7 linked regions of the Coturnix japonica genome follow. The protein of the gene in region 6 purifies or fractionates together with the protein of the main gene of each other region. This does not show direct contact. Links are inferred from orthologs where the notes say so. Each region holds a gene or a part of one and is shown on either strand. Other genes may lie near its edges.

What was found.
Region 1: the proteins of COP1 (region 6) and ETV1 purify together in Homo sapiens (affinity purification with mass spectrometry; 4 studies listed by BioGRID and IntAct, counting the BioPlex papers as one, with this or other methods). This does not show direct contact. The link is inferred for Coturnix japonica from reciprocal best matches to the Homo sapiens genes COP1 and ETV1.
Region 2: the proteins of COP1 (region 6) and DET1 purify together in Homo sapiens (affinity purification with western blotting; 11 studies listed by BioGRID and IntAct, counting the BioPlex papers as one, with this or other methods). This does not show direct contact. The link is inferred for Coturnix japonica from reciprocal best matches to the Homo sapiens genes COP1 and DET1.
Region 3: the proteins of COP1 (region 6) and ETV5 purify together in Homo sapiens (affinity purification with mass spectrometry; 6 studies listed by BioGRID and IntAct, counting the BioPlex papers as one, with this or other methods). This does not show direct contact. The link is inferred for Coturnix japonica from reciprocal best matches to the Homo sapiens genes COP1 and ETV5.
Region 4: the proteins of COP1 (region 6) and ETS2 purify together in Homo sapiens (affinity purification with western blotting; 3 studies listed by BioGRID and IntAct, with this or other methods). This does not show direct contact. The link is inferred for Coturnix japonica from reciprocal best matches to the Homo sapiens genes COP1 and ETS2.
Region 5: the proteins of COP1 (region 6) and RBX1 purify together in Homo sapiens (affinity purification with western blotting; 3 studies listed by BioGRID, with this or other methods). This does not show direct contact. The link is inferred for Coturnix japonica from reciprocal best matches to the Homo sapiens genes COP1 and RBX1.
Region 7: the proteins of COP1 (region 6) and CUL4A purify together in Homo sapiens (affinity purification with western blotting; 9 studies listed by BioGRID and IntAct, with this or other methods). This does not show direct contact. The link is inferred for Coturnix japonica from reciprocal best matches to the Homo sapiens genes COP1 and CUL4A.

Annotation. Positions count from the first base shown.
Region 1 is NC_029517.1:24,985,463-24,989,423, forward strand, and holds part of ETV1 (ETS translocation variant 1), read right to left. Parts: intron 2,800-3,961; coding exon 2,611-2,799; intron 1-2,610. UniProt on the Homo sapiens protein: Transcriptional activator that binds to DNA sequences containing the consensus pentanucleotide 5'-CGGA[AT]-3'. Required for olfactory dopaminergic neuron differentiation; may directly activate expression of tyrosine hydroxylase (TH).
Region 2 is NC_029525.1:11,805,618-11,810,018, forward strand, and holds the start of DET1 (DET1 homolog), read left to right. Parts: upstream 1-1,226; 5' UTR 1,227-1,333; exon of another isoform or gene 1,334-1,926; 5' UTR 1,927-1,955; coding exon 1,956-3,038; intron 3,039-4,401. UniProt on the Homo sapiens protein: Component of the E3 ubiquitin ligase DCX DET1-COP1 complex, which is required for ubiquitination and subsequent degradation of target proteins. The complex is involved in JUN ubiquitination and degradation.
Region 3 is NC_029524.1:3,945,120-3,949,080, reverse strand, and holds part of ETV5 (ETS translocation variant 5), read left to right. Parts: intron 1-2,334; coding exon 2,335-2,464; intron 2,465-2,775; coding exon 2,776-3,054; intron 3,055-3,945; coding exon 3,946-3,961. UniProt on the Homo sapiens protein: Binds to DNA sequences containing the consensus nucleotide core sequence 5'-GGAA.-3'.
Region 4 is NC_029516.1:97,056,220-97,060,847, forward strand, and holds the start of ETS2 (protein C-ets-2), read left to right. Parts: upstream 1-1,457; 5' UTR 1,458-1,746; intron 1,747-4,628. UniProt on the Homo sapiens protein: Transcription factor activating transcription. Binds specifically the DNA GGAA/T core motif (Ets-binding site or EBS) in gene promoters and stimulates transcription.
Region 5 is NC_029516.1:45,482,360-45,486,767, reverse strand, and holds the start of RBX1 (E3 ubiquitin-protein ligase RBX1), read left to right. Parts: upstream 1-1,370; 5' UTR 1,371-1,385; coding exon 1,386-1,514; intron 1,515-2,315; coding exon 2,316-2,394; intron 2,395-4,408. UniProt on the Homo sapiens protein: E3 ubiquitin ligase component of multiple cullin-RING-based E3 ubiquitin-protein ligase (CRLs) complexes which mediate the ubiquitination and subsequent proteasomal degradation of target proteins, including proteins involved in cell cycle progression, signal transduction, transcription and transcription-coupled nucleotide excision repair.
Region 6 is NC_029523.1:4,928,858-4,932,818, reverse strand, and holds part of COP1 (E3 ubiquitin-protein ligase COP1), read left to right. Parts: intron 1-1,255; coding exon 1,256-1,370; intron 1,371-3,961. UniProt on the Homo sapiens protein: E3 ubiquitin-protein ligase that mediates ubiquitination and subsequent proteasomal degradation of target proteins.
Region 7 is NC_029516.1:123,900,004-123,904,595, reverse strand, and holds the start of CUL4A (cullin-4A), read left to right. Parts: upstream 1-1,687; 5' UTR 1,688-1,742; coding exon 1,743-1,917; intron 1,918-2,259; coding exon 2,260-2,375; intron 2,376-4,592. Other genes in the region: PCID2 (PCI domain-containing protein 2), read right to left, coding at 193-228. UniProt on the Homo sapiens protein: Core component of multiple cullin-RING-based E3 ubiquitin-protein ligase complexes which mediate the ubiquitination of target proteins. As a scaffold protein may contribute to catalysis through positioning of the substrate and the ubiquitin-conjugating enzyme.

The sequences.
Region 1 (3,961 bases), on a different chromosome or scaffold from region 6:
ACTCATTATTCCTCTTTTTTAAAAAAGAAATTAGTCCCTTTCTCTGCAAGCCACACTAAAAATGAAGAACTAGTCATTCCTCAGCTTCTTGTACTTTGCAGTGGAACTGACTTTGGCTCATGCCAGCAAAAGCAGGCATTCTCATGGACAAAATGGAGTAAATGAAGAAGAAAGCAGGGTTTTGACTGCATAAATAACACAGTCCTTGTAAATCATCTTATATGTAGTACATGTTTCTGAAATAATTGAAACCCTAACATCTCAAAATACTCCAGTGAACTTAGTCTGAGAAATATTTACCATCATAGCTTAATTACAAATACTGTGGGAGCTACAGGGATAGAAACTATTGCAATGTAATACTAGAGGTATTTTTTATTTTTTATTTTTTATTTTTTTAATGCTGCTGTAAATATTCTATTCTGCAGTACAAAGAATATTACACTGCAACATTGGTTTTTGCAATTCCACCTACACCTGCAGAAAATAAACTTAGAAACTCAAATCTATTATGAAACAGTTAGGCTGACTGGCACTGCATTCATTTCCCTCTTTTCCTTTTTTCATTAGCCAAAAAAAGAAGCAGAAATTATCATTAAGAACTGTCAAGGAGTGAATCAGAAAATTGCAACTTGAAGTTAAAATAAGAAACAGACTCACTCACAAAGCCTCAAAGGAAGTTAATAATACTTGTTGTACTGGAAGCTTTGTATGGAATCAAGTCATTTGTTTACACAAGTGGATTTGATTCCTGTTGGTACTTGTTAGGACCACTTATCCCTCATATATTCATGCCCAGTATGAAGATGTATGGGCTGTATCTTCTAGATACTGATTCCATCTTATACCACCAATGCATATTCCAAAGAAATATGCTTGGAGTTAAAGATTTATATACAAACTTACATAGGTAGACCATTTGTTTAAATGACATTTTCTGAATGCACTCATCACAGCTACCATCTTGTACATCAGGAAGATTTGAATTGGACAAAAATATGAAGTGTACAGTTGTTACAAACAACAGCAAATGAAAAGATTCAATGTAAAGAAGGAAAAAATATCTTTCACTACAATTGCACTTTTCTTTGTAAAGGTTGAAAAAAAGGAGATTTTTACTCCAGCTTATTTGACATTCACTAAAATGTGATATTTTATCACAGAAGGGAAAAACAAGTGCAAAATTTCCCAAAGAAAATGAACTTCAAAGACACAGGAAAAAGAAAAAAACTGTGTGAAGAACCCATAAAGCTTGTATAGAACAATTATTACAGCTACAGAAAGATAAACTAAGGGCTATGCAAACCTCTATAAACATTCAAATTCAGACTGACAGAGTTTCAGCATTCTCTTCACAAGTTGCTCTAAAGTAATACTTAAATAAAATAATGATTTTTTAAAACCTATAGAATACTCTCTTACACAGAATCCACTTATCTTTGGTGGATTTCAGTCTCCTGACAATACACAAAGACTTGGGTGTATATAGAGAAATACATTTCATCACACTCCTCCGATCAGAACTGCAGCCTGGCTTCACCAGGGGTCAACTTGGTTAAACTACAGTGCAAGGAGGGGAAAACTATACAATGAAGTTGAAGGGGCCAATTCAGTGCTCCTTCAGTGCTAGACATGCTCATAGGAACCCTGGGTGATATTTAATACTATCCCAGTAGAGCACAAAATAGCAATATAAACCATAGCAACCTCCTTCAGAAGTGATCTGCGCAAATCCCTGGAGATAACAGCCCTTATTAGAGCAGAAGCATGCATGTCAAACTCCCCAAATCTGTGATTTTCTTTTCAGGTACAGTTTAACAATTTGTTAACAATTGGCTAAACTGTAAGCACTAAGACAAGTCCCTGAACTTACATATCTATATATAGCTGAAAATCAAAATGCTCTGAGAAACTGCACAATTCAGCAAACACAAACAGGTTCATGTAACAATGGTTAGAATGAACAGAATTCCACAAACAAGTGTCTGGTCTCAAAAAAAAAGGGAAATGCACTGAGCATATTTGTTGCAAAACAGAGCTAAGAAAGACAGTCAGTTGTCTAGGGATTTCTAACATCAAAACAAAACAGGGTGACTTAAGGACAGTTTAAGCTTTAATTCTAGTCTCCAGCTCTTGTGGCTTTTACTCAGACTAATGTTATTTAAGCGCAGTTTATGTTGGCATCTTAGTTTGTTTGAAATGTTATATTTCAAAAGCAGTTGGAAAAACGATCCACCCTTCCAAAGAATATTCTCAAGCAGTAACATCGTAATACAGCCACTTATCTGTTTGTAGGTACATTTCTTAGGAAGATGCAAGACACTTATAGCAAGGATCTTGTTCGCCAGTGACTTCATCACCTCATGGGGCTTACTAGCGTCAAGTGAGCTGCCCTCACAAGGCAGTAGAACCAGCTCATTAAAACTGTGTCAGTGTCAAGACCAACTTCTACTGAAATCCATCAAGCAGAGTGCCACTCTTTTACACAGCACATGTATTTCTGACATTCTGAACTTTGCTGGCTTAAAGCCAGAGCTGTCCTATATGAGAGATATGCAGCCACCACTGAAATGCCTTCTGGACCGGTCCTGTATGTGTTCTGTGTTTTACCTGTGATCCATAGGGAAGCTGTTGTCTTGAATGGATTGGGATGGAGGGAGATGGGCAGGGAAAACCCGGTCAGGTTTAGGAGTCTGAGCTGAGTTTGGGGAGGCATGGTGCAGTGGTGACACAGGAGTGCTGGATGGCGTTGGTGGGTTGGAGGGCCTCATTCCCACTTGTGGCTTCTGATCATAGGCACTATAAGTAAAGCAAGAGGAAGGATAGTCAAGTTATTTTCTCAGCAAACACATGAAGCACATTAAGAGAATAAAAAAAAGCAGAAAAAAAAAAAGCGTCACATACAGGTTTTCTATTACAGATATTTTATTAAGCAGTTTAAGGAGGGGAAACTCTCTACACTGAGAAGAGCACAGAAAAAAAATCACTTTGGAAGTAAGTGGCTCAACATAGCATTTTCTTCTCTGGAGCCTAGAAATGTATTTTTAAAGGATTCAGTCCTACAGTGACATTCTAACAAGGGATACACAAAACACGCAATTGTAAAAGCACCTGGACTAGAGCACGAAGAGCCGGCAGTGCCTGTCAAGACGCTTTTTAGAATGTGTACAAACCACAAAGTGAGACAGTAAAACAATGAATGCAGCTAGAGGGAAGGGATCTGACCCAGAAAAACAATGCTATGCTGGCTTTGCTACCCACATAGGATGTCAGCAGCCTCCCTTGACTTTTTTTTTTCCCCCTCTCAAAAATAACATTCAAGTCCTGCAAATACAAAGGTGTCCCAAGCAAGAAAAGGACACGAATAAACTTTGATCATTCCTATTTCCAAGCAATAAAAACATAGATGCGAAGCAGACAGTAAGCAAGAACTTGCATACTTTCCTATGTCAGGTACTCTAGCGTCCACCAGATCCATTAATACACACATTTGATTTTTGTAACCAAAACCATTCTAGTATGACTGATGAAGGTATCAGTCTGGGTTTTTTTTTTTTTTGTTTTTTGTTTTTTTTTTTAAATTTTCCTCCACACATAAAAAAGTTACCGCAAAGTATTTAAGCGCTTTCAGTTTTGGTAATACATAAATGTGAGTCTAAAGATTCGAAAATAGACTCAATTGTCAATTAGAAACCCTTCACTGTTGACACTGAAGGTAGGAGTGACATGTAAGTGCAAGCCAAAAGAAAATCAATAAAGAATGCAGTCATATCAAGCCCCTCAAAAAAATTAAAGCTTTTACTGTTTACTCATATAAAAGATGACAATTTCTTTTGAAAAGATAGCGAAGATGCATATCCTAATGAAATACTATTTCAAATAGTATACATCCTTGAATGTTGGCATATGTCATTTCAAAACATGTCAAATATCTAAGGTGCTGCTCAGACCTCCCAGTCTG
Region 2 (4,401 bases), on a different chromosome or scaffold from region 6:
TGTCATCGTGTCTCCTGTTGTGGAAAACCACAGGGAAATGGGCACGGACCCCCAGGCCCATAGAGTGGGTCCTTTCCTCATGATCCCATAGGGGATGCAAGGTGCCTCCTTTCCACACACATATATGGGGGCACAAGGTGAGTGGTGGGGTTGTATAGGGGTTATAAAGGTCCCCACTGACCTGGCACCTAACTGCCACCCCCCATTGGGGTGATGTCCCAAGAGCTTTGTGGGGATAGCAATGTCACTCAGTGCTTTATGGGACTGAGGCCCTTCACCCAGGGCTGGCTGCAGCACAGTGACCAGTGTGGGTGAGCACGTCCCCAGCAGGTTTATGGGCTCAGTTATGCAGGTTTATGGGTGTGTAGACTTATAGGAGCGCAGGAGGGATGTAGGCTGATAGGGCCACAGGGATGTAGTTCTGAAGGGGTGGAGGATGGGTGCAGGTTTATGGGGGTGTGTGATTATGGGTTTCAGGATAGGTGTAGGGCTGTAGTGATGCCTGTTTATGGGTGTGCAGGGCTATAGAGATGCATGCTATAGGGATGCAGCATTTGTGCAGGTTTTTAAGGGTGAGGGGCTACAGGGCTAAAGCAGTGCAGGGTTATAGGGGTGCAGGATGGATGCACATTTATGGGGGTGAGGGTTTATTGCTTGCAAGCTGCAAGATTATAGGGGTTTAGGATGGGTGAAGGGCTATAGGGGTGTGGATTTATATGTGTGAAGGGCTATAGGGGTGTGGATTTATATAGGTTCAGGGCTATAGGGGTGCAGGGCTATAGGGTTGCAGGTCTGTAGGGTTGCAGGTCTGTAGGGTTGCAGGGCTGTAGGGTTGCAGGGCTGTAGGGTTGCAGGCTATAGGGTTGCAGGGCTATAGGGGTGCAGGGCTATAGGGGTGCAGGGCTATAGGGGTGCAGGGCTATAGGGTTGTAGGCTATAGGGCTGCAGGGCTGTAGGGCTGTAGGGCTGTAGGGCTGTAGGGCTGTAGGGCTGTAGGGCTATAGGGTTGTAGGCTATAGGGTTGCAGGGCTGTAGGGTTGCAGGTCTATAGGGGTGCAGGGCTATAGGGTTGTAGGCTATAGGGGTGCAGGGCTATAGCGTTGCAGGGCACGTTTCAGTCCGTTCCCGCTGTACGCGGACGCCCCGCAGCGCTCCTCCCTCCGCCAGGGGGCGCTCTCTCTCTCTCTCTCTCGCTCTCTCTGCGGACACTCTGGTACGCACCTCCTCGCTGCTCCACCGACCGGAAGCGGAAGCGGGCGTTGAGGGTGACGCCTTCTCGCCGCCGTCGCGGTGCGTCGTTGTGTGGTGGCGGCAAGATGGCGGCGGCCATACAGTAAGAGGCGGCGGCGGCGGCGGGTCCAGCGCCGGGCTCCGTTGGTGAGCGCGGCCTGCACCCTTCGTGGGCTCCGCCACACCGTGGCTTCCAGGCCCGGGGGGCTCCGAGCTCCTCTGTGCCCCGAGGGCCCGGACCTGAGCCCCAGTTCCCTGCGGGGCAGAGGCAGAGCGGCCCCCGGTCCGCAGGCTCCAGTCAGGCCGCTCGTTGATCCTCCTGTTCCCGGTGACCCACAGGCCGCCCCGTTTCCCCCCGGGCTCCCTCTGTCCCCGCTGTCCCGGCTGCTCTCACCCCCATCCCGGTGCTGCCGTGTCCCTTCATTCCGGTGGTACCCACGTATGTGTGCTGCCTTCCTCGGCTCCATCCTTCCCTGTGCCCTGCAGGCTGTTCTGCAGGTCCCATCTCCCTGCTGGGTTCTCTCTGGGTACCTCCTGCTGTCCCCGTTATGTCCCACTGAACCCCCTCTCCCAGTCCGTCTCCCAAAGGCTTTTTCAGCTGCCCCCACCTTTATGGGATTGTGAGTTTGCTCGCAGCTCCATCTCTTGTTATCAGCCTTGGTGAGGTCCCACGGTGAGTGTGTGCACCATCTGCAGCAGGGTGAAGATGAAGTAATGCTCTGACCATGGACCATGATGCCCCCACAATCAAGCCTCGCCGCATTCAGAACCAGAACGTCATCCACCGCCTGGAGCGCCGTCGGATCAGCTCTGGCAAGGCTGGCACCCACTGGCACCAGGTCCGTGTCTTCCACCAGAACGTCTTCCCCAACTTCACCGTGGTCAATGTGGAGAAGCCTCCCTGCTTCTTGCGCAAGTTCTCCCCTGATGGGCGCTACTTCATCGCCTTCTCCTCCGACCAGACCTCCCTGGAGATCTATGAGTATCAGGGCTGCCAGGCGGCTGAGGACCTCCTGCAAGGCTACGAGGGGGAGATCCTGGCTAATGGCAATGACCAAAGATCTGTCAACATCCGAGGGCGGCTCTTTGAGCGCTTCTTCGTCCTGCTCCATATCACCAATGTGGCCTCTAATGGGGAGCACCTGAACCGCGAGTGCAGCTTGTTCACTGACGACTGTCGGTACGTCATCGTTGGCTCTGCTGCTTACCTGCCTGAGGAGCCTCACCCTCCCTTCTTTGAGGTCTATCGCAACAGTGAGTCGGTGACCCCCAACCCTCGCTCCCCTCTGGAAGATTATTCCTTGCATATCATTGACCTCCACACGGGCAGACTCTGTGACACGAGGACTTTCAAGTGCGACAAAGTCATCCTCTCTCATAACCAGGGGCTGTACCTGTATAAGAACATCTTGGCCATTCTCTCTGTGCAGCAGCAGACTATTCACGTCTTTCAGGTGACGCCCGAGGGGACTTTCATCGATGTGCGGACAATCGGCCGCTTCTGCTATGAGGATGATCTCCTGACACTGTCTGCAGTGTATCCCGAGGTGCAGAGGGACACTCAGACGGGGATGGCAAACCCCTACAAAGAGCCCTTCATAAACTCTTTGAAGCACAGGCTGCTGGTGTACCTGTGGAGAAGGGCAGAGCAGGACGGCAGCGCAATAGCAAAGAGGAGGTTCTTCCAATACTTTGATCAACTGAGGCAGCTCCGCATGTGGAAGATGCAGCTTTTGGATGAGAACCACCTGTTTATCAAATACACTAGTGAAGATGTAGTGACGCTGCGGGTAACAGATCCTTCCCAGGTATTGCCTGCCACCTGGGGCTCCCTGTTGCTTGGGGGCAAATGCTCTCAAGCAGGTTCAGTGCTGTGAGCGGCATTTTGTAGCTGAGCCTGTGAATGTTCACTAGATGTGCTGTTTAGGATCCCATTACTTCATTCTTGCGTGAACATTTGACACCCTTGGTATTGAATAACTTCAGTATCTTTTGCTCTCACGATTTCACCACATTCTTTGCAACTGAAAATGAGGCAGAAAAGATCTTAGGTGTTATCGAGTCCCCTTTCTCCAGGGATTGTTCCCTGTGCTCAGAAGTGCTTCACAGTGCCCTTTCCCTCCTAAATCCCCAGCTGATTTTTTTAGCTGCTATTTCATGTAATACACTCGCATTGTAGAGGTAGTCTCTCCCTTTTCTTCTGCATCTTCGAGCATGTTTTTCAAATATAATATCTCCATTTTTCACCAGTAGAATTACCTTTTCTATGCTGCCTACGTACTTACTCTTTCAGGCTTCTGTCAGAGCTAGTATTTATGATCTCTCCAAATTGAAGTAGCAGCTCTTAAATCCAGCTAATGTGCCAATTGCTTTTCCTTTCTGTTTAGTACTAAAGAAGTCAAATTAGAGTAAATGTAGCTCAGATGGTGCTGGGTCCCTCCAGGCTTTTCACCATCCCACGTGTTGATCATCTCTTTTCACCACTGTTACTGTTACTCAGTCTTTGAGCTGTGTGAAGCTGAGCAAGGTATTTTTCACATTAACCTACTTTAGTCCTTTGCTCTGTGCCGTTTGGTTGTTTGTTATGGAAGTATTTGGCAAAAACAATTAATAAATCTCTACCTCTGAAGTTTGTCAGGTTCTTCCCTAGGTGCTTGTTTATCCTTCCCATCCCATCCTTCCCATCTTACTGGTTCCACTACTTAGACCCTAAAATAAATGGGCAGTAATTCTTGGTGACCATGATTTCCCTTTTATGTTTGTTTTGGGGTAACTATTTTAGGAGGGAATAAATGAGGCTAAAACTGTTTTTACCCACTGGTGTAAAATGGGAGTGGCTGTCTCAGGAGCGTGAAAGCTTTGCAGTGTGTTGCTTGTATTTAGAGTGGTGTTCCTGACCCAAGCCTCAGGCCACCCCAGTGTGAATGTTAGTGGGAGTGTCAGCTCTGCTCCCTGCTGCGGTTTTGTGCCTGCTTTGCTCCAACCTGTTCTTGATTTGCTTCACCTGAAGGTTACTTTTAGCTACAAATTGTGGCTTGTTTGTGCCGTTCCTCAGGTGATGTATTTTCTGCTGGAGGGAAGCATCTTCTTTCTTTCTTCTTTCTTTCAGAGGATAATTCCAGATGTGGAGCAGCCTGACCTGCCCGAGTTTAGTCTTGGCGTTAGGGCTTC
Region 3 (3,961 bases), on a different chromosome or scaffold from region 6:
GTGGCACGTGTCTCCTGTCCTCCCACCTGGCCCTGGGGAGGAGGGCATGTGCCCAGAGCCTTATCTGGGGCAGTTGTTTACATAGGCACAGGGTGATAGGACTGTGCTGGGACAGCGAGTGCTGGGGGTGGGAAGGTGCAGGGTCCCTTTTTTTGGTAGGGAGGAGTGTTGTTCCCTGTGGAATTGTGTCCCCCCACGTGGATGGCTCACAGTGAAAGCCATGAGCAGGCTTTTTCTTGCCTTTTTTTCTTTTAAGACACCCAAATGAAAGCAGGAGGTTTGTTTCTGAGGAAGGAGAGCTTAAACAAAGGAAAGCAAGAGCACGGCTTCTATTTTTGGCTCCTCTCCTGGCGTGACCTTGGGTGCGTCCTGTGCCAGGGGGACAGAGGGGCTGGCAGGGAGCTGGTGCCCAGGTGACGGCTGCGGTGGTGCCAAGGTCCCCAGCTGGTGCGTGTGTTGGAGCGGTGCTTGGGGTAGAGCCACCACAATGCTCCATCCTGCAGGCTTGTAATGTGCCATCCAGACCGGACTCAAAGCCCCAAGCAGCTTCGGGGTGTCCCCTTCCTTGCTGAAGGTGTCAGCTCTTTGGTGGCATCATGGGGCAGGCCTGGCTGGAGATGCGATGCTGACCCCCCTGGGCTCTGTCCATCCTATGGAACCAACACAGCCCACAGTAGGGCCATCAGGGGTGCTCCCCCCACACCCACCCCCCACTCCACGTGGCCGGTGCTCAGGTTGCCCACCCCCCAGAGGCAGCTTGGTTCGGTGCTTCCCCCAGCAGCCGCTGGATGTTATTTTTCTTTCTCCTGGCTCTTCCCAAAGGGTTTTCCGGCCTCACCACCTTGCACAATCGCTTTGCTTTGAATGAATTTGGCGGAAAGGCCGAGCTGGGAGCGCAGCGCGCCCGGCCCTATGCTGTTTGTGTAAGGAATTCAAACGTTGCACAAAGTCCGGGCTTCTTTGCGAGGACAGCTGGTCTCTGTTATGATCTTAAGTATCGTTTCCCTTTTCTTGAATGGCAGCACTAAGCTCTGGGGAAATTTTTCTTTTCTTTTCTGGTTTTTTTTCTTCTTTTTTTTTCCCCCTTCCAACCGCATGAATGGAGCGCTCCAAATTGTTTGTGAATGGAGGGTGGTGCCCCGCTCCGAGACTTTTTTCAATGAATAACCAGACCCCATTGTGCGGCTGGCGGAAAAACAACCCGCTCGAACAACACAGAGACTGTTAGGGAGAAACATGCCCGTGATCGGCAGCTGGAGCCCTTCCAATGTGCGTTCCCCTTCGCTTTCCTGCGGTGTCGCAGCCTCCACACCGGCCCAAAATGCACGCAGGGGAGCAAATCTGGCCCCAGGGTGGCTGGGGGGGCTCCAAGCAGCACAGGGGCTGTGCTTGCTCAGCCCGGGCTTCATGTTTCAGATGCTCCTTTGGGTTTTTCTTGCCCTTGGTACCAGCTGTGCTGGGCTGCAGTGGGGGGGGGAAGAGGGGGGAAGTCAGCAGCTCTTTAAAGGGTTTGACAAATGAGGGGAGCAGCTAATTACCTGGCAAGCAGTGAACAGTTGTCCTGGAGCTATTTGCTCCCCTCTGGTGTAGCTGGGCTGTGTTTAGACTTTGCATGTAGCTAATACTCCACTTCCGATTAGTGTTGGCTCTCCCGCTCAGGCGTGATTTAGGTAAAGATCTCTGACGTGCTTTCCCTTTCCTAGAGCACCCGCTTTTAGAAATTAAAGAAGTTAAGCATATATTACTCGGTTTAAAATGTGTATATATAGTGAACGGGCTTGGAGCTGGGAGGGCTTTGGGTTTAATGGGCTGTTTGCCCCTTGAACTTGTACAGTCATGGCTTCCATCTCGCAGTGGTCCCAGCACTGAGCACAGCACACGTGGTGCTGGCTGCTGCTCACTGCTTCTGGCTGGCTTGTCTGGGGCTGGGTGCAGGCAAACATGTAGTGGCTTCCACAGGTCTGAGTCTGGGTACACTCAAGGAAAGGTCCATGTGTGGCAAAGGGTGGCACTGCTGGGCTCATAGCTGCTTTGTAGGGGATGGTCCAGGCACACCACTCATTGGTGATCACCCACGTCCTTGTCCCATGCCATGCTCTGCCCCCACACCTCATGAGAGGGGAGCAGCTCCCCTCTGTGGGTGATGCCCAGCTGTCCCTGTAGTCCTTGCTGTGGGTTTTTTGTGCTGTTGTGATTCTCTTGTGCTCCTGTGGAGGGGGTCAGCTTCTGGCTTCCTGAAGGGAGCACCCACACAGCTGCTCCTATGCCTATGGCCTATTCCCATGCAGCTCAGAGTCAGTGGTGCCCATGTCTTCCTCCTCCTTCTTGTTGCAGTGGTCCTGCATGCTCCACCTCCAGCCAAGATCAAGCGGGAGCTCCACAGCCCTTCCTCAGAGCTGTCGGCCTGCAGCCATGAGCAGGCTCTCTGTGCCAGCTACGGAGACAAGTGCCTCTACAACTGCTGGTACGTCTCTGCGCGTCCCTTTCTGCCATCCCCTCACTGGAAGCTGGGTGATGGGGAGCATTCCATGTCAGCAGGCAAAGCACTGGTGCCAGAAGGAGTTTGGGGTCCCCTGCCTGGCCAGTCTGAGCCCCTTGCAGGTGGTCACACCACGAGGGCTGTTTCCCGCTGCCAGCGGGTAGCAGTGGCCATGTCACAGGCGCTTGTCTCATGTGTCAGTCTCCTCTGCACCATGCTCTCCCCAGGGGCCCATAGCTGTCTGACTGTGTTAGCGTTGCCTTGCTCTCAACCCCCATCCCCTCTCCCCATTGCAGTGCCTACGACAGGAAGCCCCCCACTGGGTTCAAGCCATTAACACCACCCGCCACGCCGGTGTCCCCCGTGCAGCCGGGCTCATCCCTGCCACCGCCGCCGGCCCCAGGAGTGCAGGCAGCTGCCCATGGCGGCCCAGCGGCTCCACTGCGCAGCACCGCGCCGGCACCACACCTGCTGCAGGAGCAGAGGCAGCAAACCTTTGCCGTGCCGCGGCCGCCCCACCCGCCCATGCACATGCCAAAGATGATGTCTGAAAACCAATACCCCACAGAGCACAGGTAAGGCTCAGTGGCCTCTGGAGGTGGAGGAGCAACTGTTCTGCGTTCGTAGACAGCAGTGCTGTGGGAATGGTGCTCCATATGGGAGCAGGACCTGGGGCTGGATGCAGCGCGCAGGGAAGGTCAGGCTGCATCCCTTCCTGGCACAGCAGCCAGCTCCAGTACAGAGCTCGGTTCTGGGCGACCTTGGAGCTATGCGGGGGACTGGCTGCGACCCATCTGGAAGTGCCATACCAGCACGGGGTTTGGGTTTCACTCAGGAAGGGCAGGGGGACGCGGGTCGGAAATGGAGTAATCCCAGTCCGTCAGCTGGGAGGGATCTGGTTACAAAGCTGAGCGGTGCTCAGCGGCCCCGAAAGGAGCGGGCGCCCGGAGATCGCCTTTCACGGTGCTGCACCGTGCAGGGGTCGGCAGCATCCCTCGGCCCACTCCTGTGTACCCTGCACAGCACTGAGCCTCATGGGAGGGCACCGGCCCCTCGCTCCCAAAATAGTACTGTCCGTACCCGGTTCAAGGTTTAATCCCAGGCAGATTAGTGGCCAACTGGCTCTGTGGCGCAGCAGAGGGGATTTGGCTTTGCGTCAGCACCTGCCCTGTTGCAGTGGCCCTGGGCCCCAAGCAACATTGCCTCACCTGCTTTGAGCTGGCTGTTTTTATCTTACAGCATCGTTGCTTTCCTCCCCCCCCCCCCAGTCCCACACTTATCCAAGGCAAGAACCCTATGGGATGCTTATGCAAGGTGCATCTCCATCCCTTGGCCTGGGGAACCCAGCACCCTGCTGGGTGCAAACCCAGGTGATGGCCATGCGCTGTCCCATCCCAAATGGGGACACATAGCTCTGGCTGAGCCCATGGGTGCCCCTTGGTGACACCGTGTCCCTTTTTCCCCAGGTTCCAGAGGCAGATG
Region 4 (4,628 bases), on a different chromosome or scaffold from region 6:
TAAAGGGTGGCACAATTGTTTTTGTCAGTGTTATAATTAAAATTGCTATTCAGCCGACACAGAGTTTTTAATGGTTTCCCTTGAGATTACAGCAGATGTTGCCTTATTAGATAAGAACTCTCCCAAAGTGAGAAATGTTACTGATATAATCAAGACTTTTATTTCAATCTCAGTGTGTGCTGTCACTATTTACTTGGTGACATTTGTCCATAAGGAACGAATACCAGCCGCTGTCCTAAAGGGAGAGGGAAAGGCATGTTGAAGGGTTTGGAAGAAGTATTAGAAATCCGAGTGTTGTGGTCTGACCTTTGCTGAGCTTAGATGGAGAGCAGAGGAGGTGGACCTGTCAGCTGCACCTCCACCAGCCAAAGATACTACAGGTTCTTACTGGTATAAATAACCATCATTTAGTCATCCCACAGAGGGTCTATGGAAATCTGGTGAGTAGCAGTTATCCAGCTCCTGTTACAAGAAAAGATACAACGGCAAGATAATTTGAAATGGTAGCTAGTTTAAATAAAGCTATGTGTAACAGTGAGCTCCAAGAAGCTTTGCAAAGGCAGCTTAGGTTCCTGATGCTCACTGAAAAGCTGGAGAAGTGGAAGGTGGAAGTGAGGAGGTGCTATGGCACCCACACTGCGTATTGGTCACTCAGGGATCCATGGGACCCTTCCAGGGCTACCAAGCTTATGTGAGGCCTGAGGAGCTGCTTGGCTGACTGTGGTGTTTGGGTGTTACCTGTCATCGAAAAGTCCCCAAGACATCTACAGAACATGCGACACAACTGCTGAGTAATAGGTGTCCCAGTGTATTACGAAATATACTAGTCATACAGATACTTGGGATTTCAAGGGTTGATTCTCCTAAACTTAGCCCTCCTGAGGACAGGTATTAATTAAGAATACAAAACACTTGCCAAGCACCAGCACCGCTTCCCATAGCAGCTGTGGTGCCCCATCCCTGGAGGCACTCAAGGCCAGGTTGGATGGGGCCCTGGGCAGCCTGAGCTGGTGGGGGGCAGCCATCAGCTGGGTGGGCTTTGAGGTCCCCTCCAACTCAAACCATTCTGTGATGCTGTGATCTCGTGTATAGCGAGGGGAAGAAAACTGCTTTTCTGAACGACCCCAAAGATCCTCTCCCATCCCCATGCTCCCCAGCGAATCCCGCAGGCCCCACTCTGCGCACAGCATTAAATCAAACCCTCCTCCCTTTGCCCGGAGGGAACTTCACTCTTGTGCTGACGGTCTGACAGGCAGACACACACACACAACCAAGGTTCACAATCCCAAACGAAGCCTCGCCAGGCCCAGCGAGGCACCCGCAGGGCCGACTCCAGTCCCGCCCAGCCTCACACCGCCCTATGCCGGCGCCGAGGCAGGCCGCGCTCAGGGGCCGGCCTCCGGGGGGCGGTCCCGCAGCTTCCCCCGCCCCTGCCCCCTGAAAGCGGCCGGCAGGCCGGGTAGCGCGGCACAGCACGGCGCTGTACGGCGGAGCGAGGCACGGCCTTACGGAGCGGCCAGCGGCACGGCCGGCAGCGCCCACGCAGGCGCCCGCCTCCCGCCCGCCCCTTTCTTCCTCCTCCTCCGGGACTCTCCGCTGGGATCAAGCCGGCTCTGCCTCTCTTGTTGTCGGTCGGTTGTGCCACATCGAGGATATTTTGGCTCCCGGAGAGGCAGCGGCGTTTTCTTTTATCCGTTTTTTGGGGGAATTGTGCTTGCGCGGTGCCGCTGCGAAGTGGAAGAGCAGGTGAGCCGGGGTGGCTCACCCCGTGCCGTCCCATCCCACCCTCGGGATGCGGCGGGGACCTGGCGGTATGATGGGGGGAAGGGGCGGCTGCGGAGGGACCCCGAGGGCTGGGCTGTGCCATCGCCGTGCCCAACTACTTTTAGATGGGAGAGAGAGTGTGTGTGTGAGGAGGCGGAGCGGCTCTCTGTCGCCGGGCCCCCAGGAGCGAAATCAGTCTGTCCAGGATTCACGACTTGCCTTGGGATCATCGTGGCGTGCCGGCTGTGGGCGCGCACCTGGTCCTCGCTGAAAAGGAGTCGATCAGAATTCAGGAGTATTAGTTAATAAGTGCCTGATCCTGTTGACCCTGTTCTGGTTCACCCACTCAGCTATGCGGGGGAGGCGAGGAAGGTGTCCTGCCGGCTAAACCAATTACAGCTGGCAGGGAGCAGTCATCGGCGTTGCTGAGGAGCTGGGAGCCAGGCCCAGGCGCACTGTGCCCGTGTGTCTTCTATGAACTCAACTCCAAACCAGCGGGAGCTGCTCAGCCCACTCGGTGTTGCGGTGTCTTCTCAGGTGTTTGGGGCTGGTGGTGCTGAGGGAGGTAGAAAACCGGAGTGAAACAGATGTGCCTTGTGTTGTTGGTAGAGTAGAGCGCTGTGTGCCTCGTGAGAAAGCCGATGGGGAGGCCATAGGATGAACGAGCAGTCTGACATAGGAATACAAGGAGCCGGGTTAATGAGCAACGCTGGGTAATGAGGGCTTCTTGGAGATCTTTTGTCTCAGCACCCAAAGAGCTTCTGAGGAGACAGACAGAAAAATCAGGAAGGGTAGAATCCTTGCCCACTTAATCACAGAGTTGTAGGGCTTGGAAGGGACCTCTGGAATTCCCTACAGCAGGTCACACAGGAGAGTGTGATGGGTCTTGAATATCTCCTGAGGGGGGAGATATAATCAATGGGAAAGTCCCAAAGAGGAGTCTTGTTAAGGCCTGGGTAGCACCTAAAATTGTCAAAAATCCTATCCATCACTGTGAAGATGGGATGTAGGATTGTTGATAGCGTGTGTAGTGCCCTCACGAATGCCTTCTCGTTGTTGAGGCTCGCAGCTTGTTTTCCTATGTACCTGACCAGGTTTCAAAGGCAAGACAAAAGCCATTAAAAATTCCATAGTGCCGTAGTTGTTTGGTTTTTGTTTGCTTAGAGGAATAAAGAAAGCCCAGTTGAATGTAAGGATGAGCAGTTGTTTAAACTAGTGAATTTAATGGGGGAAAAAAAAAAATAAATAATAAAAAAATGAGGATGCTTGCTGAGTGAGACTCGCGCTGTGTGAAATTCTTTGGTGCTCAATGAGATGTGTAATTTAGATCAAATATTTGCACATGCTATTTGAGGTAAAACCCATCATTCCATAGATTGCACTTTTGGGTAACATTAACGAAGGATAAGTGGACTGTTCCTTTTATATTGGGCTGATTTATGTCGTTTCAGTGATAAGAGCCATACATGTAAGAGCTGTGAAGTTGAAACAGGCCTCTCAGGTTGAGGACTCTTGACTTTTAACTGATTGCAAACACAGGAGGATGAAAGGGATCTGTGGCTGTTTGGTATTTTTCTTCTGCTAGATGGACAGATGTTGAATGTGTTGTCATCTTAGCAGCTCCACTTGTTTTGTGGTTTTGGTTTGTTTGTTGTGTTTTTGGTGTTTGTTTTTAAGCTCTAATTTGCCGTCTTTTTCCACGTTTAAGATTGTATGTTGACCATGTTTAAGTTTGTATGTTGATTTTTTTTGTGTGTATTGAAATGGCTTAAGAGAAATTGCTTGTATTTAGTAATCACAGTTTTGTGGGAATAATAATGCCCTCGGTTACTTTGTTTAAATAAGAGTGAGTGTTTTCAGACAGTTTCTGTGGAACAAAACAACGCAGCACAATGCAGTGACAAAGTAGAAGAAAAACTGTTGAGACAACTTGCCACAGTCTAGCCTGATAAGGTATCATTTACCGACACCCGAATTACAGCATCGTGATAAACTTGAACAGTGGCAGTAAAATCTGCTTTATTCATTGAGTGTGATCTCTCATAGGATAAGGATCTTATCGCTGTATTCCTTGAATCATATATAAGAGAACATGTTATACAGCCCTCACACAACCCTGCTTCTGGTGGCATTGGGAACTTGATAGCCTTGATTCGAGCAGCATGAATGTGCTGTTGGTGGTCCCAGCTCTGAGAAGGGTGTTTTATTGCATGAACCCTTTTTGGCTTGTATGCATTTAGTAGGCTCAAGTTTAAGTGTATTAACCCAGTGCTCATAAAATAGGTGAAATAATGCGTGTCAGAGATGCTGTATCTAGTGAAGGAAGCAGGTTGTTTGTATTTGGAGCTGGTTTTCAGGGGTAATTCGTGTGAGGAGTGAGCAAGGCAAATGCCAGTCTGAAGGTGCCACAGTAAGCAATGCTGCTTCTCTTCATTACTTTAAAGGCAAAGTCCAAAGTGAATTGTGCAGTGTAAGCATAAATATAGTAAGTGAAGGTAGACAACACTTCATGTTTAAAATGATGGGTGAAAGGTACAAAATAACTGCAAGCAATCGGTACTTGATGGGCAAAGCACTTCTGAAGGCTTTCGTGACCACATAATGGGATGAGGTACTGAAAGCACTGGCTTAGGGGACCAGAAGTTAATCATCCTCTTATGCACTTGTTTCACAAAACTGTGTTGATTCTTGGGAGAAGCCTTCTGGGAAAAGCTGTGTAAGCAAGATGAGAATTTCACTGTATATGATTGGTATGCAAACAGCATATGGGGGGGGGGGGATGAAACAGAAACAGCTTTGTCTTTGCCACACTCAGAGCTGTTCTGCAGTCTGTACTAAAGCAGTAAGATGCCTCTTAACATCCT
Region 5 (4,408 bases), on a different chromosome or scaffold from region 6:
AAAGGCTGTTTGCAGTAGGTTGGGCACAGTCATTAAGTACCATGGTTTTTGCAAGCACCTGGTAACCTGCATGTTGGTTTTGAGTCATGACGGTTGGTTGTTATTTTATCTTCAAGTTATCAAGCAGCTTGAGGTGCAATACCATGAGAAAGAAAGAGCAGCAATTAGTCACCATCCCATGAAATGCTGCAACTCGTTCCTCTCTCTGAATCTCATCTGTTCATCTTAGTCAGATTATGGGGAGCGGGAGGCTTCATTTCTCACCTGAGGTTTTAGTAACAGATTGAAAAAACAATGGCACTACATGGGAATATAATGTGACCATCATCTAGAAAACACACAGAGGCAGAGGGATTGGGTTCATGCAGAAACCAACCATGATCTGGGCCAAAAAACTATGGGATATATTGCTTAATCTACCCCTCTGGCTCTGTTCTTAGAATTCAAATTTTCTCTGAGCACTCCAGATCAGCTGGGGATGCTACAGAGTATTGAAGTTCCATGATATTCATGAACTCTGAGAAGTTTTGTGGCAATGTGGAAAGACGGTAAATGAGGTACCATTTGTGATGCTGTCTGTCTGGACACTCACAACAGCAAAGGCAAACTTAGCCAAATCAATTACTTTTAGTGGCATCAGCAATGGAGGGCAGCCAGCCAGCCCTACAGTTCTTTAAGGAGTTATAAAATGCACTTCATTTTTATAACCTCTGTACAATAAAGTATTGCTCTAAAAAGTGTTTCGGAGCACATGAATTCCTGCTTTCTTTCAGAACATTTTCATTCCTGAGTGCATCCTGAGCGCCCCAGAGACATCCCACACCACTGGGGTAGCACTGAGGCTGATATGGTACAAAGGATATGCAGCTCAGCTCAGCCCACCTGAGGGGCTGGGAAGGGAGCAAGGGCTGAAGAGCAAGGCAACCTCCTCCCTTAAAAAGGCTCTGCCGGGGACGGAGGGGTGTGTGTGGGGGGGGGGGGGGGGGGGTAAGGGCAGGCCCTGGCGGAAGCCCCGCCTACACCTTCCGCTCACACCTCCCTGCGGCCCCTTCCGCCGCGCATGCGCACAGAGCGGAACGGCCTATTCACGCATCCAAAATGGCGGCTGCGATGGATGTGGACACCCCCAGCGGCACCAACAGCGGCGCCGGCAAGAAGCGCTTCGAAGTGAAGAAAGTGAGACCTGCTGGCGTGGCGCGCTCTACCCGGCCGGTCCCAGCGGGAGGAGGGAGGTCGGGAGCGGCCAGGTGGCCGCGAGCGGGTCGGGGCGCTGAGCCGCTTTCCGCGCCCCCTCACGGAGCCGGGCGTTGCTTCCGCACCGGCACCGCCGTATGAGGGGAGGGGGGGGCGGTGCTTGCGGAGTCTATTGGCGTGTGTCGGGGCCAATGGGTGAGACGGGTCTCCGCGCGTGGAACGGAGGTTGGCCAATCAGAGGGCGCGACCACGCGGGGAGGAGGAGGGAGAGAGGCGAGGCGGGGCTAGTTCTGGCTGGGCCCCGCCGCCCAGAGCCGAGGGTAATGCCGGGCTTAGGGGCGAGTCGGTGCGCTGCTGTTGCCTCCTCAGTCCCGGCTGCTTTGGCTCAGTTGTCTTAGTGGCCCTACGTGATGTGAAGGGAGCTTTGCACGCATTTGTGTGGCTGCTTCTTTTTGTATTCTTCACAAATCAACTCGTAGGTGACCAACAAATGCTGTCTTGTCATCCCGGTTTGCTTTGCTTCCCCCAAACAACCATAATATCCCTCTTTGGCCTAACAACCATAATATCCCTCTTTGACCTACCCTCTCCAGTGTGGCTGCGAGCTGAATGGTGGTGAAAGATCCCAAGTTCACTTCAACGAGGCCCGGAGGTGGTTAGGAGCACTTTGTGGGAGCACTTTTGATATTGTATATTTTTTGCAATGAAAATGATTCAGGAGTCGCTGAGGGGCAAAGTTAGAGGTGATTCTGGTTGTTGGCCCCAGCTGCTCTGAGGGATGATTACTGGGAAAACAGCTACAAACAAGAGAAGTTCCAAACTGAGGATGTGGCGTGAGATGCATTCTTGCCTCCAGATTATGAATTGAAATGCAGATGTTTGCATTTGTATGGCAAAAAAAAGAGAGTGGGACTAGTATCAATTGTTTCTGAGACTGGAAGGAGGCACTGAGTGTGAGAGGTATCTGAGAAAGAATTACTCTGGTGCTGTAAGGTGTGTGTCTTTTAATATCCTAACCTTATCATTTCAGAAAGAAAGAGGATCTTGAGGAATAATGAGGATTTCCATGTGTTATATGTTGAATAAAATTTATGTTTCTCTTTTTTCCCCCCTCACTCTAGTGGAATGCAGTAGCTCTGTGGGCGTGGGACATTGTGGTTGATAACTGTGCCATCTGCAGAAACCATATTATGGATCTATGTAAGTAAATGATGGGGAAGCGTGCTTACAGTTTTGACATGTACAAGATTCACAGTTGAAATTTCCACTGCTCAGGGTGCATTTCAGCAAATCTGGTTTTCAGTTCAGAATGAAGTCTTTCGGTAACACTATAAACTCTGTTCTATGTAGTGCTCAAGTTCTGCTTTCTGTGTCTGACTGACCAGAAAAGATTCAGGCCACTGAATTTTTGACTCCTCATTCTGCCAAAGCTACTTTGCCTAAATTAGGGTTATAGTGTGGGGAATTCTGTGGCCAGCTAGAGAATCCGTTTGTTATCTATGAAGAGAATAATCTAATGCCTAAACCAACACCAAGCATTGCTAGTACTAATTCACCTTTTTTTTCCCCCCTGTATGGTCCCAACAGTCCTGTTAACAAATACACTTACTATTTAGGAAAACAAAGTGGTAGTAGGAGTAAGTATAAAAAATTCTACTGTGAAATAGGTATCCATATATAAAGTCACCGGCTTTGGTCTAATTGAGGATTGGCAATAAGAACAGAGCCATTTTTTTTTCCCCTCAAATCTTTGGCAATATATGGTTGGCACCGTAACTGTCCATGTTCTTTCAATGATAAGATACAGAACACCTTTTAACATCCCCCAGATAGGAAGTCACCTGTACTACTAAAATGGGAGGATTGTGGTACCTCAAAAAGCAAGACCTTCAGTACCTGACAAGGGCTAGTCATGATTTCTTTGTGGTCGCTTTGTTTCACTTTCTTCTTAGTAGCCCTTGCAAGTACAGCTGATGGTAACTTACTGTTAGTGAGCCAATGTGATAATATAAAAGAGCAGGGGAAAAGAAAAAGAGGCTGTGCAGTGTACCATGCAGGGCTGAAAGGGGATTAAGCAAGCTGACTTCTTTGCTTTGAGTCAGATGTGTTCTATTTTGAGCCAGCTGCTGCCTGTCCATCGCTCACTTTATTCTTGATCATTAGAAGAGGAATGGTAGCACTAAAGGCAAGCAGGTGAGAGGAGTGGTTGTGACATGTGCTGAGGACCTCTGACATAGTGCTTTACAGTTAAGAATTGAGGTTGGGTGGAATTGAAAGAATATAGACGTGTTAGGAAGAACTTCAAAGGAAGAGAGCACAGGTAACTTAGTTTTTGTTTTGTTTTGCTTTTTGAGTTGCTCAAGCATAACACCTTATTAGTTAGGGCATAATCAATGCTATCAAAAGCCCAAACTGCAAATGATGGACCAAAATTGACAGTATACAGAGTAGAAGCGGTATCTAAATTGGTGTTCTGAGTTCAGCCTTGGCTCTGGATTTACTTACTTCCTTGTTAACGATCATTAATGATGTTAAGCAACATCTTAATTAGATTTTCAAACCGAAGATGTGAAGTGATGGGAAATAGAGAAAAAATTACTAGATTGTGCAGGGAAGAACAACACAAGATTCAGTTTGATAAAGTGCAGGGCAGGAATGTCTCCCTCTCCCACTGATGAGGAGAAACCTTAAAAGGGAAAACATTACAATGGTGATAAGTAACACCAGCCACGCTAATGGAAGATTGTTAACATTATGAAGTCGAGCATCCAAAAGTTAGGATATAACAATGTTAAGGTTTCGTGCAGTCTTGCTAATGCACATACATTACGACTTGGCTGCTAATACTAAGGACAAAGGATTCCCCTGGCCCTCACTATGGCTCATGTTCGGCACATAGAAGGGATGAGTAGATTTTCAGTGGTTTTTGTTCATTTCTGAAAGGGCCCAGAATGTATTTAGATTTTCTTTGTGCAACATCCTTGATTTCTTTCAAGGTTTATTCCCTGCTGCAATGGTTGCAATGGGGCAAGTTTGGGGAATGTTGAGAAACACCATGATCATATAGTGGGTTGTCCTCTAAGTGGAATGTAGTACTGCAAGGTGACTGGTGTGCTTTGAACTGTGTGAAATGTGGCATCAAAATAGTGGACTCTCTCTGATAGAAGATGGAAAGTATCAATGTGATATTCTGGTGTCACAGAGATGGACAAAT
Region 6 (3,961 bases):
GGGAGTGGTGCTGTAAAATGTTCCATCACCTCTCTCTTTAAGCTGTGAAGCTTTTGAAAATTGTATTCAAAAGTTGTTGAGGTAGGAGTGCTTTCCAGCACTGGAGATGTGTTCTGAGATTGGAGCCGCTTTCAAGATGAAACAAGCTGTCGAGCTATGAGTCGCAATGTCAGCACATAGCCAGGGGCCTCGCACAGGAAGTGGCATCTGGAAGTTTCATTGCTCGGGGTATGTTTCTTCCCTTGAGCGTTAAGTTACTGTTTGTACAGTTACAAGCAGAATCTCAAAGTAGGCTCTAAACTTTGTTTATTCTTGTTGGCTTCTTGACATTTGCAATGAGAGCAGCCCCATTCTGCCTCATGATTTGAGGGGGAGTTGAACCTGTGTTCTTCGTGGCATGTGGGTTTTGTTAGTGCTTGAGAGGCGTTGTACACCTTGTGTGTGTTCAGGAGTATTGTGCCCTAAGAAATGCTCATTGCGGAGCCTGTTGGTTCTTTTAAAATTCCCCCATTATCTCTGAGTGATGTGTGAGACTTTTGAAACACAAACAGAAGCGAGATGCTCTTCATGCTCCTTGTGCAATAATTTGTTCCTTTCACTAGTGATTGAAACAAGAAGTACTTTGTTTTCCATTTGTTTTCTAAGGGAGAGCTTGCTTATGTAGTTTCAGTCCTTCTCCCTCAGCATTGATGCCTGTGTGGGTTGGGAAGTGGTGGTTTTTTGTGTTTCATGGACTTATTTTCAATTAACCTTTGAACTTAGTCTCTTAGTGTATTCCTGCTTCTTTCCTCACTTGTTTACTTTTATAGGTACTGAGTTACTTCAGAAGGAATAATTCACTGACTCCTTAAACAGCCCCTACTCTTTATGAGTGGTTTGCTAGAGATCTAGGAAGTGATTCTTGTACAGTCCATTTGATTTGGGAAGTTGAAAGGCTGTATGTTGGGCCTCTGCTGTCTATCTGCACAAATGCGATGCATGGCTCCCCATGGGTTGCTGCCATCTGTCCTGTGTGTAAAGCTGAGCTTGCAGAGATTGAGAAGACTGCCATCTAAAAGCAGCTTTTTTGCTTCTCAGGTTAGAAGGTGCAATGCAAGGCCCTAGTCATGAGTGGATAGATATTCTTCATTGTCACTGTGAAATTCTGACTCACCAGATGATACAGTGAATAAATTGTATTTCAGTTTCTTAGAATCTATTGAAATAAAGCCCAGACTTGTCTTTTCCTCTCTCAAGAAGCATTTTCTCCATTCAGGCCAAAAAGCAGCCGTGGTATAACAGCACGCTCGCCTCACGACGGAAGCGGCTCACAGCTCACTTTGAGGACCTGGAGCAGTGCTATTTTTCCACAAGGATGACACGTGTCTCAGGTGAGTTCCTCCTGCTTGGTGTTCAGCTTTTGACATCATTTACTTCTCACAGTCCCGCTTCTCAGGAAAGCTTCACTTTTAAGAGACAAGCCTTTGTTTTTCCCTGCCTTGAGAAACACTGCTATACATATGCATATATTTCTTCAAGTCACCTTGTGGAGATTTTTCATGACCAGTCTTTGAGGTTTTTAAGCTTATAAAGTATAATACTATTGTTTCAGAGCACCACATATGTTGCTCTGTAATGCTGTACTATGAAGGTCGTAACCACTAAATAGTTTTTCTCTAATCTTTGTTCTGAAGCTGCGGTGGCTGGGTAGTTTTTCTTCTAGATGTGGAAAAAGCACAGTCATTAAAACACTTATCAAAATACTAAAGAGGTGAAAACACGTTGATAAATGTTACTATATTTAATGTGCGGTACAACACTTGGAGGTTATCCTTTGTTGTCCAGATTGTGAGTCTTGGTTAACAAATGGCTTCAAGTACAGAAGCTGAGTGTGCAGCAGCATCATTATCCCATGGGGCACACCTTAGATTTAAGACTTGTTTTGTAGAATTAGAAGCTGTTTTCACAATTGCCTGGATTGCCTCATTCATAATTGAGTAACAGTGTGGCAGCAGCTAGAGTAATTGTTACATGGTGGATGGATGGTTCTTAATTATATAACGATATTCTCTTTGGAAGCGAACAGGTCAAACGGATGCCTCTTAAGGGAGAGGAAGGTCGCTCTCTGGCTCTCATGGGGAACAAGCAAGCTTTGGGGAAAAGAAGTTTAGTGCAATGGGCTGTGGCAGGCAAGAGATGTGCAGCACCAAGCTGTGAGCAGCAGCTTATACAAAGAGGGAGAGAATGCAGCAAAGAGCAGGTTGAGGGGAGCCTCAGAAGCACAAAAATAATGCAGGCAGGGGCTGCTGCAGCAGAGCATCTTTGCTTATAACCTTGGAAGGCAAGGACTAGCATGCCAGGATACAGATCAGCAAGCAAGCTGGGTCACAAATCCCTGCTCCTCTGTTAATTTGAGGTTTGGCTGCCTAAACATTTTCCAGCTTTTGAAAACTATTACTAATAAACAAAAAAAAATGTGGCCTTTTTATGTTCAAAGACTGCCAAGTGTTGTAGGAGAGCTCACTCTTGGATGGAAGATGCGGGCATGTCTGTTTGGGAGCAGTGGCTGACTTGGGTCCTGTCATGCCCAGCAACACAGTTCTAACAATTTGTGGCATGATGGGCTGCAAGATGATGGGAGAAGGTAGTTGTGTGTGACCAGCCAAACTCCTGTGAGGTGCTTGTAATGTTCTGCAGGCTGCAGTACTTCACAGATTAGCACAGATATTTCCATGTGTGCTATCTTGGTGATACGGAGCTGTGTTTTTGTTAAAATAATACGTTTATTAGCTAAGGATAACAAATTGGACTTTTCCCAGCATTCCCTTGTTGAAGACATTTTTCTTCATAATTGGAACTATAAATATGAATGCGGTGCAATTGTGCATTTTGTTTATGTGTATGTCAGCTGCACCAAAAGTAGAGGATTTGCTACGGCTGTTTTTGCCCTAAATAAGGGATAACCTGTAATGCTTAATTAGATTTTCTTCTCTTCAAAGTCATTCCTGCTTTTTGACACATTTTAAATAGGATTTAATATGGATATAAGGGGTTTATTTGCAAGAGATGCCTGAAAATCTTCTAGTAAGGAGCAGAGCAGTAATACAGCTGGAATTATGAAATGGCCTCGTGCTTTGACGAGGAAAATGTCTTGAGAAATAACATCCCGTTTTGCAGACATAGATGCAGAATAAATTACAGGAGGACTGTGTGCTTGATCTCTAAATGAGGGAAATGGAAGAGCAGCAGCTATTTGCTCCTATTAAAGTGTCAAAGGAGGAATCGGTCTTTGAAAAATACTTACTGATGTTTATGTGCTGCCTCTCGAGTTGTTTTCTTTAGTGGTCAGGTGCTGAGGGTTTAATTTAAAGCAGTGCTTTGTTCATTCTGATCTATCTGACATGAGTAATGTACCCATGGCTGTACCCTAAAACACGCTTATTACTGAACTTTGCTGTTTCTTTATGCAATCAAACATGAAACAGCTTGCAGGGGACACTTCAAAATGCCCTATGGTTACAAAGCAAGATAATTTCTGATGACAAGGAATTACCATGGTGCAGAAATGTTAGAAATAACTATTGCAATTTTTCTCCTTTTTTCACCCCAGTGTTTCCAAAGACTTCCAGTAAGTTGAGTTATATCACTTTCTTACGCTATTGATAAGGGAAGCTTAACTGTGGTGTAAATTAGCGACCTCGGCTGCACAGGCAAATGATGTGTACCTTTCTGCTGCTGCAGTGGGTGCTGTGGTTTAATAAAAGGCAAAGTATTCAGTAATGTGACTTGCATACTGGACTACCTGCAATCCAGGGTGCTGCATGTCAGAGCTGCAAGGAAGGCAAGGGGGAATTGCTGCAGATTCTGGGGGTTGCTACAAAGCCTGAGGGCTCTGCCTGATGTTTGACTGCCGTTGCTTGATCACATTAGGAAAGCTGGCTCGTCCATGAGACATGGCTGTAAGTTAGGAATTCTTCCTTAT
Region 7 (4,592 bases), on a different chromosome or scaffold from region 6:
AGTGGAAGGGTTTAAAACCAAATAAATCAGCATTGTATTTTCTCAAAAATGGAGGGGATGAGAAGAACGCTGTTGTGCTTTATCCTTGTATGTAGGATACAAGTATTTCTCATAGTGAGGAGCCCAAAACTGAACACAGCACTCGAGATGCGGCCTCACCAGAGGAAAATAGACACATAAAGAAACTCTTACCTGTTGCAGGTACTGGTTTATGGTGATGTGGGCCATTGGAACACAAGGGGCAGGAGGCCGAAATAAATCACGTTCTGCAAAAGAACCGGAGTCTTAGAGAAGGGTGGTAGCCCAGAGGCACCTCGTCCTCCTCGCTGTGAGGAAGGCCGGGCCGGGGCTGCCCCCGTTGTCTCCGTGCTCCTGCTCGCACCTCCCCCACCGCCCCCAACCCAAACACTGACTAACCTCCCCGCCATGGCGCGGCGCACAGCGGCACTTCCGGCACTCGCCGTGTACTTCCCGTAGTCACCGGAGCCGTTTGGGGGCGTGGTCTATTTCGAGGCAGCCAATGGAAAAGAGCGGTGGGCGGGGCCAGAGCGCGCGTTAGGTATAAAAGCACGTGCATCGGTGTGTGTGGTACGTCAGTGGGCGGAGCGGCGGGAGGAGGGAGCAGAGGGACTAGCGTGCTGGTCGTACCGGGGTCCGGTGTCAGCTTGTGCTTACCACAGAATGACCCGGGTTGGAAGGGACCTCAAGGATCATGTAGTTCCAACCCCCCTGCCTGGCAGGGCCACCAAACATACACATTTACTAGATCAGGTTGCCCAGGGCCCCGTCCAACCTGGTCTTGAACACCTCCAAGGACGGGGCATCCACAACCTCCCTGGGCAGCCTGTTCCAGGGCCTAACCACTCTCCTAGTGAAGAACTTCCCCCTAACATCCAACCTAAATCTTCCCTCTTTCAACTTAAAACCATTTCCCCGTGTCCCGCTATTGTCAGCCCTTTCGAAGAGTTTACTCCCCTCCTGGGAGTAAGTTCCCTTCAGGTATTGAAAGGCTGTAATGAGGTCACCCCGCAACCTTCTCTTCTCCAGGCTGAACAAACCCAACTCCCTCAGCCTGTCCTCATAGGGGAGGTGCTCCAGCCCCTGATCATTTTTGTGGCCCTCCTCTGGACCCTTTCCAAAATCTCCATGTCTTTTTTGTACTGAGGGCTCCACACCTGGACACAGTACTCCAGATGGGGCCTCACAAGAGCCGAGTAGAGAGGGACGATCACCTCCCTATCCCTGCTGACCACCCCTCTCTTGATGGAGCCCAGGATCCCATTTGCTTTCCGGGCTGCCAGAGCGCACTGCTGGCTCATGTTGAGTTTTTCATCCATCAGGACCCCCAGGTCTTTCTCTGCCGAGCAAGACCTTATGGGAGCGGACCGTTGTGCTCCGGGGGCCGCAGTGCCTGCCTTGTGAAGAAGGGACGGCAGCTCCTTGGCAATCTGTTCCAAAAAGCTGAATAAAGTTCCCCACGGGTTGTCTGTAAGAGGCTCGCACCGAGAGTCCGCCGTAGCCGTCCGTCCCGGGAGCCATCTTGCGAGCGGGGACGCTCGGTGTGAAGCTGGCGGGAAGGGCTGGGCTGCCGCCCCGAGGTGGGGGAGGAAGGGAGGGAGGGAAGAAGGGCGGGCGGAGGAGGAGGAGGAGGAGGAGGAGGAGGAGGAGAGCGGAGGCGGGGACCGGGCGGTCCAGCCCAGCGCAGCGCCTTGCCCCGGCCGGACACGGCGCCCGGGGCGGAGATGGCGGACGAAGCCCAGAAGAAGCCGCACTTGTCGGCCCTGGTGGGGCACACCAACGGGCTCACCAAGCCCGCCTCGCTGGCCGCAGCCGCCACGCGTGGGGGAGGCGGCGGGGGCGGTTCGGCCGGTGCTGCCGCCGCCTCCTCCAAGAAACTCGTCATCAAGAACTTCAGAGGTGGGTGCGGGGCCGAGCGGCGGCAGGTGCCGGGCCCGGCCTCTCCGCACCTTTGTTTACCGCGGGGGCCGCTCCGCCTTACAGGGACGCGGAGAACCTGCCGCCGCTCCCTAACCGCATCCCGGGGTCTCGCGTGGGGCCGCGGGGTTGGGGTGGCCCCGCATTAGGATGGAGGAGGAGGAGGCCACGGGCCTGGACGCGCTCGGGCGCTGCCGTCTCGCGTGGGGTCGCGACCTGCCCCGTGGCCGTGCCCCGTGAGCGCCCCTGGGCTGAGCGGAGGAAGATGGCTGCGGGGAGCCCGAGCCTCGGGCCGCCTTCAGCCGCCTCCGTGTTCCCCCGCAGAAAGGCCCAAGCTGCCCGATAACTACACGCAGGACACCTGGCACAAACTTCACGAGGCGGTGGCAGCCATTCAGAGCAGCACTTCTATTAAGTACAACCTCGAGGAGCTCTACCAGGTAAGACCCGTACGGTGATGTTTTCTTTCGGTGTAATGTGGAAAATGGAGACTCGCAGGGCTTCAGATCAAGCAGAGATGTATTTTTGACTCGTTAAAGGCCAGTTATTATCTCCAGAACGCTCTGTGTTTCCAGACAGTTCACAGTGTTGTGCCTCAGCTTCTCGCTGCTCCTAGGAGAGTTCTCAAGGTCTGGGCCCATGAAGAAGCAATTTGTGTTGGAAGGTATTGAGAGCTGCACTTGGGCATCCAGCCACCCCAACACTCTGCCTGCTCCAGATCCTGAAATTAGGGTCTTGCTCTGTCTGGGCTTTGCAGTGTCTGTGTTTTACAATGGCTTTTTTGGTTCATGCTTTGGTGTTTGAGAGTAGCCAGCGTTAAAAGTATTTGTTACGATGCTGAGACTTCAGTGTCAGTGCTCTTTGGAGAATGAAGGCAAGAATCGCACTGCTCGTGTTGTTATAAAACATCACTGATGCTGTAAGTTGTGCCACGCGGCTGAAGTTAACAAGCAGGGTGAGTCTCAGAGCTGAAGTGACTTCTCTGTGTCATTAGATGGAGTGTAATGTGTGGCATCAGAACGGCTCGTTGTGTGAAGGCATATTGACCTAATATAACATACTGCCTTCAAGCTGGACTGATATATATGTGTCTGGTAATACTTATAGGTTTGCAGAATCTGATTTACATAATACATTTGATGGTTTTAAATAGAGCGTTTGAGAAATCCTGCATTTTCATGCCCAGCTAGAAAAACACAGATGCTTTGAATGTTACCTAACTTGTTTTCAGAGGCTCAGAAAAGAGATTATAGTAATATGGGTATGAAATTGCCGGGGCACGGACTTGAGCTTTGGCAGTAGAGGAGGAGGGAGATCTCAGATAAGCTGTAAAGAGAGAACTGTGCTTTTTGCTTATTCTGTTTGTAAAAATGTGCGTGTTGTAAGGACAGCCCAGCAGTCAGGAAGTCATTGGTGCAAATCAGCAAGATTCCTGTACGGTGGGTGGTGGCTGTGAACATGCCCATACATACATACATACATATTCCTTCTGCCAAAGGAATAAGAGGAAGTTCAGCATCTTTTGGAAAGCTGACCTGTATGTACAGGTCGCTGTAACTCTCGGTTGGTGAGCACAGAGCCATCCATGGGGAAAATATCAGTGTGTGTACTGCTTCTCTATGGCAGTGCTCCTTTATGTGCATCTCTATCTGGCACCATGACAGGAGAAGAGAGGCTGCTGGGGCTCAGTGCAGCAGGCAGTGGTACCCCAGCCTGCCTTGGAACTTCTTGATTGATGTATTTAATTTGGCACGGTGGCAGAGTTAAAAACAAGGCCTGGTGGGAAGCCCAAAGCATAGTCTTTCCCAAGCGGCAGTGGCCGCATGGGTTAAAGCACAAAGGTGCTTGGCAGAGGCAGTGAGCAATAGGAGGGTGGCAGCCAATTTTTGCTACTAAAATAGAAGTGATGTCTGGGATTGGTGGTAGATTGCCTGGATCTGGGTGGAAGTGGCTGATATTTGATGGGCTACAGAAAGTGGGGCAGTGCAAAGAACTGCCGAGTGAGGAGCGAGTGATAAAAATAATGGGAAAAGAGAATTCCCTTTGCAACAAGATCCTAAATAGCTTGAAATAGGGCAGCAGCTGCCCTTCTTGAGGGCACGGAATAGAACATTGTTGCAGTAAAGGGGGAAGAAAGTAAATGCTTTGAATCTGGACCAGACTTTTGTGTGGGTGGGTAGGAAAGGCTGTGTCTTAGAAAGCATAACCAAATATCTGACCAACAGTTGTGTGATCACTGTTTGTTTCAGAGGTCACCTCACGTAACCTGTTCTAAGACTGAAGTTAAAAACCAGCATAAACAACAAAGTAATCATGTAATGCCTGCTTGTTTCCATCTTGTGTGTTTTGGAAGATAAGCTCTTCAGGATATTAGAACTGATAGAGGAAACAGTACAAGCAGCAATAACTAGCTTACTAAACAGAGGACTCGGCTCAAAACAAGCCATTAAAGTGGTTATTTGAAACTTATACATGGCTTGTGTAGGTGAAGAGCCTACAGTGCTGTCTTTCTCATGTCATAATAGAAGAGATAATTATTATTACAGCTTTTTCCCCAGTCTCATTGTGTGCAAGATAAATAAAGATCAAATCAGGGTTTCTTTCAGAGGCAGCAAAAAATCTGAACAAAGCAAAACATGCAGAAGAAGGAAATTACT